Alligator mississippiensis: one gene and its partner. The protein of the gene in region 1 interacts with the protein of each later gene in a pairwise test. Links are inferred from orthologs where the notes say so. Each region holds a gene or a part of one and is shown in the gene's direction. Other genes may lie near its edges.

Region 1 (7,010 bases):
CCTCATCCAAGTCACTAATGAAGATGTTGAACAGCGCAGGTCCGAGGACCGAGCCCTGGGGGATCCCACTTCCCACATCCCTCCAGATCAAAAAAGACCCATCCACCACCACTCTCTGGGTGTGGCCCTCCAGCCAATTTGCGACCCATCTGACATGCTCAAACCAGCGCGGAATCAGGATAGCTGGGGTCAGTACCTCACCCAGACCCAGTTGAACTGGGAAGACTCACAGGGAGAGAGACTGAAGCCAGAGATCCACATTGACGTGAGTCATCGTCCAGAGAAAGGGAAGGGCCAGATCTCTTCACCTAGTTCTGCACCCAAGCCGGGAGTCAGCTGATCAAGTCTTGGTCGTTTCCTCCATAGGGATCAGAAGCCTAAGCTGTGCAGCCAAGATCACACCTGATCGGAGCAGAAAGCTGGCAGGAGAGCCCAAGAAGCCCCAGGAACTAAGGCTAGGCAGTGAACAGACACTGAAGCGAGCCAAGCATTGGACAGGTGAGGAGTAGCTGAACTGCTTACTTTTAATTATCCTTATAAGGGACAGACTCTTGGGTATCCCAGGAACTAAATCTGGCACCTACAGCAACAAGGCTGGGTGAAGATAGGACTTAAAGTAATTAAATCACCAGAGGTATGAGGCAGGAGTGTAGGGGGCTGGAGGAGCTCTCAAAATTTGGCCCTTAAGATCAGTTGGCTGGTCCTGAAGGACACAGTGCTGCACGAGACTGGGATCATTCTTGGTACTGTCCCTGCTCAAGGATTGACTGTTCTCAGACCAGACATCACCGCCTATAAATTTTCCATCAAAGTCATGGCAGGAAAGACTAAGCAAGGGCAGGAGGAGTCTCTCTTGGAGGAGGGAGTGAGCTAAACCTTTCCACAGCCAGAGGCCAGGAATCACCCAGTCACCAAGACTTACTATCCTTTCACAGGTGGTGACTGTGACACTGACAATGGGCTTTGTACTAGGCAGCAGGGAAAATATACATTCAGATTGAATTTTTAAATAAATAAATAGAATTGTCTACTGAATCCAGGGAGAAGAATGATAAATAAATTTGAAATAATTAAACTACCATGTTTTTCCTCGTCCTCAATCTCCCAGGTGCCCAGACCAAGCAGGAGCCATGTAGACATTTGCTGGGCTTGCTTTTAGCTATTATTCATGTTTTGTAGGCTGGGATGCAGACCTCCCACAGCAGCACTGCAGAGGTAAAGAAAGGAGCAAGTCTGTGATCCACAGAAAGACGATGGATTTTGAAAATCTAATACTATAAAAACAAATACCCCACCAGGATTTATACCAAGTCTTTCTTGTCTGCCGGGTGAGTGAGGCCTAATGACAGCACAATTCATTGGAGTGTCACTCTTGCACTTCTATGTCCTGGATTCCCATGGAGTAACAACAAACATTTCTGATGTGGCTGCCTTCTTGGTATTTACAGTGAAAGGTCAGTGTGTGGCCATTAAACACTAAAAACATATTTTTTCTTCATCAAAGCCACCTCTCGAAAAATCAGTCAAAACTTCAGCGTGGCTGGAACACCCATAAGCAATGATTTTTAGTGTGAGAGCATTTTGTCATCTCATTCTTAAAGTTTGTTCAGCACAATTTAAAACGTTTCTGTATCTGTCTAGCTTATCTAATTGCTATAGTATTCAAGCCTGTGAAACTCACTCTCCTGAGAGTTCTGAAACCTCGCTGTGCCTAGATTTTGATTTGAGATCTTCTTCTATGTAGGCCATCCTACAACAGAGGAAAAGATACCCATGCAGCCTCACCGAAGAACAAAATAGAGAAATGGTCCAACATGAGAACATGAAAGATATCCACTTCATTATCAGCATTTAATTACATTGGTAGGTAAGAGGTCCCAGACATTTGAAACTTTTGGCAAGCCTTATTAGTGTTTTAGCACATAGATATCACTGTAGTTAGATATTTATAAATATCTATAAATATGTAGTTACATATTTATAAATACCTGGATTAGGTCCCTTTGATGACAACCTCTTATACTCTGCTGGATTTGTATCAGTTCTAGATGACCCCTGTACACTTCATGATGACATTCCTTTAGATATGAATCATCATCCTTTTATGTTTTAATTATATTTATTTAGAATATGCTTGGGAGGAAATGATAGCTCAGTACCATTAAACATGAAATACATATAACTCTATATAAATAATCCTATAGAAGATCTGTATTAACGTATGGGGTGCCAAAAAAAGATCACGAGCTGTGGAAGGTATTTTGTGCAGCCTATATTTAACAATAGAAACCACCAAACAAAATAAATAAAGAGGAAGAACTGCAGTCCTTGCTGTTGGGAGTTAGCCAATATTTTAAAATAAAAGTCTTGAAAAGGCTACTGTATTATTTTAGTCTTAGCCTTCGGTGCTGCGTTCACACCAACTTAGAGTGAATTCTTTCATTTATGCTATACCATCAACGAAAAACTAAACCTATGAAAACCATTTAAGTGTACAAACCAAACTCCATCAGGGCAGAAGTGTCAGCACCTTCCTCCCCGAGTCTCTCTAGAAATGTCCAGCCCATTACAGTGGAAAGAAATGTCCATGTTTTTATATTTATAAATATATTAGATTATTGACATGAAAGGCATGTGCCCCTGGAGGTTGGGGGGGCACGACGACTGCCTGCAGGCGGCAGTGACGGCAGCGGGGGCATAGCAGTGACAAGCGGGGAGCTCCCTCAGGCAGCCATGGCAGTGTTGGCAGTGGAGCAGACCAGGCGGGGAGGGCGAGCACTGAACAGTGGTCGGTGACCACCTGCAGACGCTGTTGGCAGCAGTGACCACCTGCAGATGCCACCGGCGGTGTAGGTGGCAAGGTGGGGGGTGGTGAGCGGTGACCGCCCGCAGGCCCCGCTGGCAGTGTCAGTTGTGCTTCTGTCAGGGGGTGCATGTGCACTTGTGTGCACCCCCTACGCATTGCCAACGGTAGGGCATGTCTCTCTGTGTATAAAGCACCGTGCAAAGCAATGTCACACTAACAACGAAAGATCACAAGTAGAAGGCTTTCTGCCTGACCTCAGACTAACAGGGCTAAGTACCTGTCTCCAGTCATGGGTAACATCAGTACTGCATCAACTGTGTGCACACGGGTCACCCGTGACTTGGTTAAGCACCTTTAGAAGTGAGAACCTGACCTGTACAGTCCTTACTGTCCTCTGATGAGTCCACCATCAAAGAGGCCAAATATTGTCATCTGCCGGGGCTGTGATATGGGAAGTGTGCAGTTCTTAAAATATCATTAGCCCTGCATTACACCTTTAGGAAACTGCAGTGGCAGCAGCCATATTCCAGTCAGCAGGTTATAGAGTAGACAGACATGAGAGCTCACACTGTCCTTTCCCATTTCTCACTTTATTTCCCTCCTTAGCGCCTCAAACACGTCCATCATCTGAGGTTTGCTTTAACCAGCAGTTTCTCATCACCAGCACCCCTCCCATTCCCCGGTGCAACTACTGCAGGGAATAGGGATGTTACAGGATGGCATTTAAAATCTTGGTCCTTAACATGGATGTAACAGCTGGAAAGGAGCAGAGCCAGCACCAAGGGAGTTGCCAGCTCCCCAGGAAGACCTAAACAATTGTCTCATGCACCGTGCTTTGGTGACCTCTCTGTTACTCTGACATAAATCATTCCAAGTAATAAGGCTGCTCTTTGTGCATAAAAACCCCAGCACCTGGTTGTTTTTAACCCATTAGGACCTGGCCCATTTTTGATCCATTAGGACCTGGCCTGGACCCCCGAGCCCCACCGCACAGCCAGGGCTGAGATGGAAACAGCTTGTGGTGCAGCTGAGAACTACAGTTCCCAGCAGGCCGTGCGGTGCAGGCTCGCACCGAGCTCTTCTGGGAGTCCTAGTCGGAGCTGCCTGATGAAAGTTAATAACTGAATCTGGGGTAGGCAGTTCCCAGAGCTCCTCGGTGTCTCTCATTGTTATGCTGCCTTTGTCACCTCCAGGGGAAGAGGCTCAAGATGGATGAATGGGATGCTGCTGGGGCAAGGGCCCATGGGGTAAGGAGCCAGGGCACTGCCCTGTGGGGTGCGGAGGGCAGGAGAGGGTCTCCCTGATGCTTGGCTGCACTGTACCTGGCTCTGTCCAGCCGCTGCCTTGGCAGACATCCTCTGCCTGCCTGCTGGGCTGATTGCACTGCTGGTTTGTTATGCATGGGGCATGCTGCGGGCTCAGAGGCAGGGGGAGGCTGCAGGTGCAGCCGGGGAGCAGCCCCCAGCAGCGCAGGGGGAAGGAAGAAGGCGCTGCCTGGCTCTCTGCTGCTGCCCTTTGAACTACTTTGTGTCCACTCACACAAGGGGAGAGGGCTGGGGATGGTGGATGCAGCCACTCAGTCATTCTCCTCCCCCTTCTCCCTTTCCCGGGCTTTAATCTCCAAAGCTTTTGCTGAGACAGGAATGTGCTGCTACCTCCCATGGGGAGAAGAAAGCCCTGCTGGTTTCCTCCCCTCCCCACAGAACCTGGAGTGGGAGTGCGGTGCCCTCCTCCTCACCCCAGACAGAGCAGCCCTGCCCTGCCCTCCCCCTCCATCAGGTCCCCAGAGAGATATGTGCTTCCCTGCTCCCCCCTGCACAGCCCTGCCCACCTCTTACCCCCTGCATTTCAGAGAGAGCCTTGCCACTTGGTTCCTTTTCTGTCCCTGCCACCAGAGTCTAGAGGGATGCAGGCTCTCGCCCACTCCTTCCCAGCCTACGTGGCCAGAGAAGAGCCATATTTCCCTCACCATATTTCTCTCCCTGTGTCCACAGAAAGGCACCCCTGTCCCTCTTGCCCGCTCACCCTCCACACTCACAGCCTAGAGGCCAGAGATAAAAATGGGCTGGGAGCACAGGTGATGCATAGGAAGGGTACAGGGGGGGCACACGCCCCTCCTGAGATTGGCCGCTGCTGACACTGCCGCTGGCATCTGCAGGTGGTCACTGCTCACCAGCCCCCCTCGCTCACCACCGACACTGCCACAACCACCTGCGGACGGTCCTTGCTCGGCCCGCCCTTGCCACCGATGTCACCACAGCCACCTGCAGGCGGTCCCCACTCGCCACTGCCATGCACCTGCCGTTGACACCACCGCCAACACCACCACTGCTGCCTGTGGGCAGTCGCCGTGCTCCCCCAGCCTCAGGAGGCACATGTTGTTCATGGCTGGGAGGATAGCTCAGTGGCTGAGGCACTGGATCAGGGTCCTGGTAACCTGGGTTCACTACCAGGTTTGTCACAGATTCCTTTTGTGACCTAGGACAATTTGCTTCCCTCTCCTCTGTGCCTCCTTAGTTTTTCATCTCTACAGAGGTGATAATCCTTCCCTGCCTCTCAGCAGGACTGTGGACTATTCATGAACTCTACAGTACATGGACAAGAATGGGAGAGTGGAGAAAGTGTTGTCTTGCCTTAAAGCACTGAGCAATACTGAGGTTATGCAGCTCCCCTTTCTTCCTCCATCTCCCACAGTCCAGATGGAGGATGCATCCTTTTCTCTCCCTCCCCTCTCAAGTCTAAAGATTCACAGAAGTTTAGGGCTGGAAGGGACCTTGTGAGATCATTAGGTCCAACCCCCTGCTCTAGGCAGGACAAACTGCTGGGGTCAAATAACTCAGCAAGGTGAGCTTCCAGTCTCCTTTTGAAGATCTCCAGGGTAGATACCTGCACCACCCCCACAGGGAATGTATTTCAGAGAAGGCAGCTGCCCTTCTTTCCTCTTCCTGAGTCCTCCAGAGTCTTTGGGAAGGTGTTAGGTCATCCTAGTCCTCAAACCCTGTAGCATCTACACCAAGATTCTGCTCGGTTTCTTCAGTCCTTACAAGCCCTTTACATTAGAGGTGCACCAATACATTGATCTAATATTGGATTGGCACCAATATAAAGAAAATGGATTGTATTGGAAATCAGGCTGATGCAGCCAATAATGTGGCCAGTAAATGCCCGTGCATGCATGCAGTCGCAGAGCAGCACGCAGGCAGCTAGGAGTACAGCCCGGCAGCTTGGAGACCTGTGTGCAGCTGGTAAGTCTGTTGTGGTGGACGGGGACAGGGGAGGGAAGGGGTGTGGGGAGAAGCAGATCAACACCCCAACGGTGATGGAGGGAGGGAGTGGGGCGGGGCAGGGGCAGGAGCAGGGACAGGGTGTGGGATGGAGCTGCAGCTTGTCCGGGGGATGCAGGGAGGAAGGAGACTCCCACCGTGGTGTGCACCCTGGGAGGGCATGGGGAGTGCGTATGCCCCCGGTTCTGCACGGGGGTGGGAGGCAAGGTATGCTGTAGCTGTGGGCTGGGGGATGCACCGGGCTCTTCCTGGTTTGTGGGGGCTGTGCTCCCAGTGCATGGAGGCTGTGCTTGGGGCTGTCCTCGAGGCTGTGCTTAGGATGGGCAGCTGTGGTGCTGGGAGGGGGGTACAGTGAAATTTGGGGTGGCTGCAGCCCCCCATAACTCCCTCCCAGTGTTGCCACCACCCACCCCAAGTGCAGCCCTGGCCCAACCCTCCCACCACATGCTGGGAAGAGCCTGGTGTAGCCCCAGCCCACAGCTGCAGCCCTCCCATACAGATCCAGGGGCACATGACCCCATACCTTTCTGGGGTGCGTGCAGCTGTGGGAGCCACCCCCTACCCTGTGTCTCCCGGATGAGCCATGGCTCCGTCCAGTGCCCCACCCCACCCCGGCTGGGTAGTGCCTACCCAAGCCCCTGCCCCACTCCCTCCCTCACTGTGGGGCCTTGATCTGCCCTCCCCCCCACCCCATGTCCCTTCTCTCCTCCATCCCCATCCATCACAAATGACTTATCAGCTGCATGCAGCTGTATCAGAAATCGGATCAGTATTGGTCAATATGTCTCCTTAAAAATCGGCTATTAGTATTGGTCCCCAAAATCTCTATCAGTGCACCCCTACTTTACATTCATCAGACTAGGAGCAACTTCCAGCTCTCCAGTTGTCATGTGGGGGACCAAACTGAAAAGTTTGTTAAC
Region 2 (7,434 bases), on another chromosome or scaffold:
ATTGAAAAGGCAAGAAGGGATCAATTTTGAGGGTACCTACCTTCTTTGGCAGCTGATTCCTATCCATCGCTGGAAGAAGGAAAACCCTGTAAGCCTCTCTGTCTCTGCCTCAGGCTTCCTCTCTAATCTTACCCTGTTCTAGCACACACACGGAGTTGTATACTTTAGCAACCTTTGCTCTCTGACTGCTCTATTCTGTCAAGAAAACACAAAACCATACATTGTAGTTGCAGAGGTGCCAAGCCACCTCCCAGCCAGTATCAGTATTGTCTGGCATGTCTCCAACCCCTCTGTGGCTGCCAGAGCTCCCAGGTCCTTTACTCCATCACCTGCAATCAGAGAGTTTTGCTCTTCATTGCAGGGTTGGTGCCAGACCGATGCTCCCAGAGGCAGAAGAGATTTGTCCACACACAAGAAAGCACACACCATGGGTAGCGGGCAGTAGCAGAAGCCTCTTCATAAAAACTGAGGTGGAGGGAAGGCTTCTAGTGGTGGCAGAGGAATGTAGCCTTTCTGCACAGACTGCTAACTACAGTGGCTGCAGTGTCTCACGTGGGCCAAAGTCCAGCAATAACCAGTCAGACAACCTGCGTCCAGATTGATCAAATGGTCATTAGGTGGACATATGAATTCAGTGTGTGGGCCAAATCTGAATCAGTAGCCTGCAGACAAAAGGCCACGTCCTGTGACCAATCCCCAAAGACATAGGCAAGCCAGATTCATGATTGTCAGGCTGCGTATCCTGAATGCTAGGCTCTTGGCAGTAGACCCACAATGATAACACCGCAGGCAACAAGAATATTAGCATCCCTGCAGCCTTGAGGATGGCTGTGTAACTAGATGCAATTAAACCAGGGGAGGGCAATTATTTGGGCTGGAGGGCCACTTAATGAGTTTTGGTGAGCTGTTGAGGGACGGGGGTGGAAAGGCAGGGTGATACCAATTGATCCTATCCAGCCCTCTGGCTGCCACCAGGAGCCTGAGGAAGCGGGGCTGCATCCGCATTGAGGGCCTGGGCCATGCAATGCACAGACTCCTCTACCCCCTGCATCAAGCACCCCCCCCCCCGATTTTCTGTTGGTGCTACGCAATCCTGGCACCATGGCTATCAACAGCTAGGCCTGCACGGGACAGGGCATGATGCAGCATGCCAAGCAGGTGTCCTGCCCACCTACTGAGATGAGCTGCCGCCTTCGTACCATACCAGGAAAGTCGGGGGTGGAGGAGGCTGTGCACTGCACGGCTTGGTCTGACCTCAGGTGAAGCAGAGCGGAGCAGTACAAAGTGCAGCCCTCCCTCCTCACACTCTTGGTGGAAGCTGGTGGGCAGGATAGGATCAACTGGCAGGCTGGATATAGCCTGCAGACTGTATTTCGCCCACCTCTGAATTAAATCAAAGCCACATGGACATATTTGTAGCAATGTTCCATTAAGAAATATCACCATGAGCAATGAGCTGTTTGGGACAACACGCTATTTTGTTTGCTTGTTTTCAAATGGAAAAAAATCCTCATGGACTATACTGTGAAGGATAAAAACCCAAACTATGAAGCTCCCACCCCCACTCCCAGCATTACTTTTTTAGGTTTTTATCTCCAGCAGCTTTTGTTTGCTTGTTCCAGAGTAGTAACTACTGGGTGAGTGCTGGGATACTAGTGAGCAAGTCTGACCATAGGAGTTGTCAGAAGGCAGCTGACTCCTGGCTCTCCCGTCCCCATGGGAAATGGGGACAGCTCCTCACACACAGGGGATGCTCTGCACTTTTGTTTGGATGGCCTGGCTCACCTTGCAGCTTGGTGTTTGTGCCAAATTGCACTCCAGCTAAGCTACAGGACACCATTGCCCTGTTAGGGTCATGGCATGACTAGTAATATGTATTAGTTTGCCAAAGGGTTTGTTTTATTGATTCCCTTGGACCTGTGATGTGCAGATTACTGCACTTTGCCCTGGGGACTTGCTGCCCCCTGCCTATTCAGGACTTCACACAGCAGAGTACATGGGCCTGGAGTCACAAGAAAGTTTTGTGTGATGTCTGACACACACACTCAGCCACATGCAGACTGTCAGATAGGGAGGTTGGTTGTAAAGGGTAAAACTGAAGAGCCAAACCCCGAGTGTCCTGGGACAAACTACAGCATGGGGAGAACAGACCATCTGTTCAGGAAGAGAATAAAGACCCATTCTGCAGCTCTCCTTTCCCCAGTCGCTGCTACTGCCAAGAACATCCTCTGGGCAACTGGGTTTGACCAGTCTCATGGGCAGCAGCATGTGTGAAATCTTCTCTGACAGCAGGGGAAGTGCTATTGTAAAAGCTTCTACAGGAAACTGGTGCCCTAGGACCTTGGCTACCCTACAACATTGAGCTTGCACCAAGAGTGATTGTCAGCAGCGGCCCCCTTTGTCCAGATTGGAAATGGGCTAATTGCTTGCCTGTTTCTGATGGACATTTTCACTGCTGCAGTGGATCTCTGATGACAGCCCATGTCTCTGGCCTGGTGCAGACACACAGCAACTACACAGTCGTAATGGAGGAAACCCCCTCGTCTACACAGACAGGGAGGCTACTACCCCTGAGGGCACCAGCTTTGACAGCCACAGAGCCTGGTGGGCCCGTGCACACCAGCACCTGTGGCAGCCTCCCAGAGAGAAGCCGGCCTGCCTTGCTGCTCCCCTTCATGGCACCTATAACAGGGATCTGGGGATACCAGGACAAGAGGGGAGAGTCCAGAGAAAAGTGCGTGTTGGGACCCAAGCAGAGATCTACACTGCTATTCCTGGCACAGCAAAGCAGCTCTGGGCGAGGGTGATTCCTAATCAGCCTGACACAGAGAGCCTCGCCCAGGCCTGCCCACCCCGGAGAATGACTCCATTGGCCACCTGTCTCTGGGCAGGAGGTTCACGTGCCGCAGGGCAAACGCCCAAAGCTCTGTTGGCAAGGGAAAGGGAAAGGTAGCCTGCGCCTGGCACTCCGCCACGAGGCAAAGTCTACTCACGGCCCGACCTGGCCCTGGGTGCAGCTTCCCCCGCCACCCACCTGCCCCGAGCTGAGCTAGCCCTGCTCCTCCACATCCTGCTCTGCTCGCAGTGCTTGACCTCAGCCCGCAAATCCCATTATAACGGCCCAGAAAGGCCAAAGCCCTTCTCCCCATGCCTCCCCTGGGGCAGGGTAGTGCATCGCTCTCTGTGGCTTCCCTCCAGCGTTGCCAGGTGTACCATCATTATTGTATTTGTGCAATCATTTCAACCCTTGTACGATCTATAACAGTAAGAGTGTTCAAAATACACGCTAATTTTGGAGGCAGCTAATGTGCAAAACCCAAGTCACTCTCCGGGAGCCTTAACTGACTTTTGGGTTTGCTTCCTTTTTGTCTTTTTTTGCAAAAATATGTATAATACATATATAACTACCTCTAGCAACCTGTCAAGTGAGCACTGCGGTTCACTTGGCCAATTAAAACAGACTCTGACAGTTAAACTACAGCAGTCCTGTTACACTGCTTGCATGCACGGCCTTTGTGTGACCGCCGGCCTCCAAATAAAGAAACACGTCCACTCCTGTGACCCAGTTCTCACTGGGCAGCTCAAGTGAGCAAGAGAAAGTAAACCAGAAGAAGACTTAGTTGCAGGCTTATTTGCATATTTATCAGCGTACGATTTCTTTTTTCTCCAGCAAATACGATAATTTTGAACTTGCCATGATCATTTCATGTTTAAAACCTGGCAACGCTGGTTCCCTCCTGCCTCCGCGGTGCAATAACAGCCCCATGGCGGGGCAGGGGCAGCTGCACTTACCAGGCTCCTGGCTAGGAAGGCCAGCATAGCTCCTGCCTGCAGCAGACCCCAACTCGGCCGCGTCCCGGTCCCGCGCCGCAAAGGCAGGGACAGGCAGCAACTTCCAGGGTAACTTCAGCAGCTGGGAGGGGCCGGCACTCCCGCCATCTTTGTGCGGGGCAATGTCCTACCTAGTGTATGGAAGGGGCACCATCTTTCTGCGGGGCATCCCCCCGCACTGACCAATGAGCTAGCGCCCTGCCATGTTTGTGAGGGGCGGGCTTTCACTCTGAGCGGCGCCGCTGCCATCTTTGTGAGGGGCATTGCCCCACCTCCCCGCTCTCTGCCCTAAGGGAAGGGCAGGCCGGTTTTGGGGTGCACTGCTGCATGCGTCGCTGCTGATGTCTCCCGAGCGGGCAGCGGTGACTCTGAGCGCACGGGGGGCGAGGCGGGGAACTGCTGGAGTCCGGGCTCGCGGGTGGGCCCATCCTGACACGGGGGGAGGAGAAACCCCTCCGGCCGCTCCCGAATTCTCGGTCGCTTGAAGGATCGCGAGTTGTTCCTACATGCCCGCTCGCGGGTGTTGCCCGGTACAAACATGGCCGCGCTAGCAGCGGCGGCGCCCGGCATGCTCCGCGCCAACATGGCAATCTCTTATGGGACAGACGACGTGCCCTTCCCAAAGATGGCCGCCGGACTGCTCTCCGGGTGCGTGTCGGGAGGGCAGAGGTGAGAGGTGGGGGGTGATAACGGCGGTGGCCCGGCTCCAGGAAGATGGCAGAGAGCGAGCGGCAGACAGGTGAGGGCAGAGCCTGCGGGTCCCGGTGGGGCGCGGGGGTCACTTGGGGGACGCAAAAGACGCAAATCAAATTCGTCCGGTGGCGCTGGGAGGGCCGAGGTTTGCTGCTGCCCGAGAGAGCCCCCCGGCCGGGGGGGTGGGGGGTGGCAGCGTCTCCTTCCTCAAGGGCTGTTCTCGTCACAAAATACCCCCCTGCCCTCCCCCCCCACCGGCCCCTTCCCCTTGGCTCTTGGTGCCGGGCCGCCTGCGTCATGAGGGAGCTTTTGTCCAAAGACCTTGTGTTTTGGGCAGACGAGGGGTGTGCATGGGCGTGCGTGTGTCCACGCATGTCTGTGTCCATGTGTACACGCATGTGTGCGCATCCAGATGTTTGAGCGTGCAGGAGGCACGGTACACAGACGCCGAGAGATGAAATGACTTGCCCGAAGGGACCGGGAGGCCTGAATCCCAGACGGGTGCCTCGGCCCTTCGGCAGGGATGTCTCTGACTCTTCCCTGTTCCCCGCGATCTGTCTTTATAGCTGTTCACAGTGGTTTCTTTTTTCCTTTATCAGTACTCTGGAGGTCTATTGAGGTTGCTGCTCTTTGCATCCATGAATATAGAGCATTATTTAAAAACCCACTTTATGGTAATGTGATGCTGCCTAATTGTCAGCTGGATCAGCTGCAGCAGTTCAGGGTACATCTGTTTTTAATTCCTCCTAAATTGTGTCTTGCTATCCAGGGCTTTCATAGTATTTTACAAACATGCATTAACTGTTTCTTGCATCGTGCTAGTGAGGGGCAGTGGGATTGTTTTGTAGGGAAACTAAGGCACAGACCAGCTGAATGATGTCCCTGGAGTCGCGTGGTAAGTCTGGCAGAGCTTGAAGGAGTTGTGGGTCGTCTGGTGCGATTCCTGGAGAGCTGTGCATTGTCAGTGAAGAGAGGAAGGAGCCGATGAACGTTTCTGAGCAGATTTGTCTGTGCAAATGAAGTTTAGTGATTACAGTTTTTCGGCAGTTCAAATTTTGGGGCTTAGTACAGAATTGGTGCTTACAGTTTGCAGGTAGCGCTAAGAATGATTATTAAAATGTTGCTGGAAAAAAGTTTGGACTCTTCTAAGATTAAAATAATGAACAAAGGGATGGTAGCTTCATGCTAAATATACCTTTAGTTTCTTGATTAATTGTTGTTTGCTGCACTGCATCCTGATGATAAAGTTTGGTCGTAGAAATGTGATGCGACTGTGCCTTTAACCTTGAGGCCACTGCAGAGCTAGAAACGCTGCCACATGTGGGACTGCAGAGTGAGACTGGAGCCAGTTGTGAGCCTTGGACTGTGGTGGGGCTTGGAAAGCAATAACCCTGGTGTTCAGGACAGCTTCCTTTCTTTTTCTTTTTTTCAAGTGAGGAAGGGAGGATGGGGAACATGTTTCCCAGCTAATGAAAAAAGTTGGCTGTGTACTGGGGGCCTGGAGCAGTGTCATGCTGATCTTATGTGTTACTGATTTGCATTCATATCATGCGTGCCATCCTAGCAGCTCAATGCACTTTATAGAGAATATTGTTCTCACCTGAAACAGCATCTCTAGCATCCAAGAGGCCTTCTTGTGCGGTCTTGGGGATGCTGGCTTCATCCCATTTCAGAGTAAAGAGTGCCACCTACTGAATCACTTAGGTTTTGTCTTCATTGTAAAAGATGCCTTTGGGGTAGTTAACTTGATGTAAAACCCTTGTGACCAGACACAGGTATTAGAGGCCAATCTGCTACCTCTCAGCTGGGGTTTAGCTCAATTAACTATAGCTAATTAAGCTGCCTGCACAAAGGTTTTATGCCATTAGTCATCTCAATAGAAAACGTTTTTTTGTAGTGGTTCAAAGCCTATCACTATTTTCTGTGGCAGGGCTGTGTCCCTTGGCAGTATGCTGTCAAAGGACTGGAGAGTCTGGTCTTGGCTTGGCTCAGCTTGTGAGAGCTGGCACAGTGGGGATGAGTTGTCATTTTTTGTGTCTAGAGAAACGAGCCTTGACTTCAGAAAAGGAGCTGAGGCCAGAAGGAGTTGTATTCTGTTTTGCATTCTATTTGACCTCTCTCTCTTCCCTCTTCCAGGCTCCTCTGAGGAGGCAGTCTCTCCCCTCCAGCAGAGCTTCATGATCCCTAAAAAGGAGATAAACATGGTTTCTGATATGGCCAAGTGGAAGCGCTCTCAGGTATGGATCTGGGTTCTATGTTCCTGAAGTGTCTCAGTGTTGGCATTTGTGTAGGACAAACCAGGCCAACTGTAACAGGTTGAGCAGGGTTGGGTCAAGCTGCTGGAAATAATGACTTTTAAAATCAAAAGGGGACTGTGACTAATGTTTTGGGAATTGTAATAAATGTAGCTTCCTCCAGTGGTCTTTAGGTGACAGCAGTAGGAGATTGTGGATAACAGAAGTACCTACCTGGGCAGTTGTTTGTGATGACAGCAGGTCCTGTCCACTCTGTATGGCCTGTAATTCAACCCCTGGGACTGATAGTGGGGTGTAGGAGTGTTCACTGTTCTGCAGTGTGGATAGTGAAATGCCCAAACCCTGTCTGTAGTAGAGCTCTTGCCTTTGCTACTGCTGGTGGTGAATACCAGTAGTATTCTGGTTTGACTCTACAGACAATTCTGTAGAGTGTGTAAGGGCTAAGAGCTTGGAAGAGAAGAATAACGTATTGGTTCTTCCCATACTGGGACAAGATCCCAAGGTTGCCCTCAGCAATGGATAGGGCTGGGGCTCTGTCCACAGTGGTAAAGAATCCATATAAAGCATGATTTTGGGCCATCCTTCATAGAACATTGTGTTGTCTATGTGACCCCACCACAAAGCTGAGGAAGATGGTGTTAATTGTCACCTCTGA

The links.
Region 2: the proteins of AMOT (region 1) and PTPA interact in binary tests that used the Homo sapiens proteins (3 or more experiments, as listed by UniProt). The two-hybrid records come from large-scale screens. The link is inferred for Alligator mississippiensis from reciprocal best matches to the Homo sapiens genes AMOT and PTPA.

Annotation. Positions count from the first base shown.
Region 1 is NC_081831.1:66,324,423-66,331,432, forward strand, and holds the start of AMOT (angiomotin), read left to right. Parts: upstream 1-3,948; 5' UTR 3,949-4,053; intron 4,054-7,010.
Region 2 is NC_081835.1:58,229,073-58,236,506, forward strand, and holds the start of PTPA (serine/threonine-protein phosphatase 2A activator), read left to right. Parts: upstream 1-4,427; 5' UTR 4,428-4,545; coding exon 4,546-4,570; intron 4,571-6,660; coding exon 6,661-6,761; intron 6,762-7,434. Other genes in the region: CRAT (carnitine O-acetyltransferase), read right to left, coding at 3,793-3,819. UniProt on the Homo sapiens protein: PPIases accelerate the folding of proteins. It catalyzes the cis-trans isomerization of proline imidic peptide bonds in oligopeptides. Acts as a regulatory subunit for serine/threonine-protein phosphatase 2A (PP2A).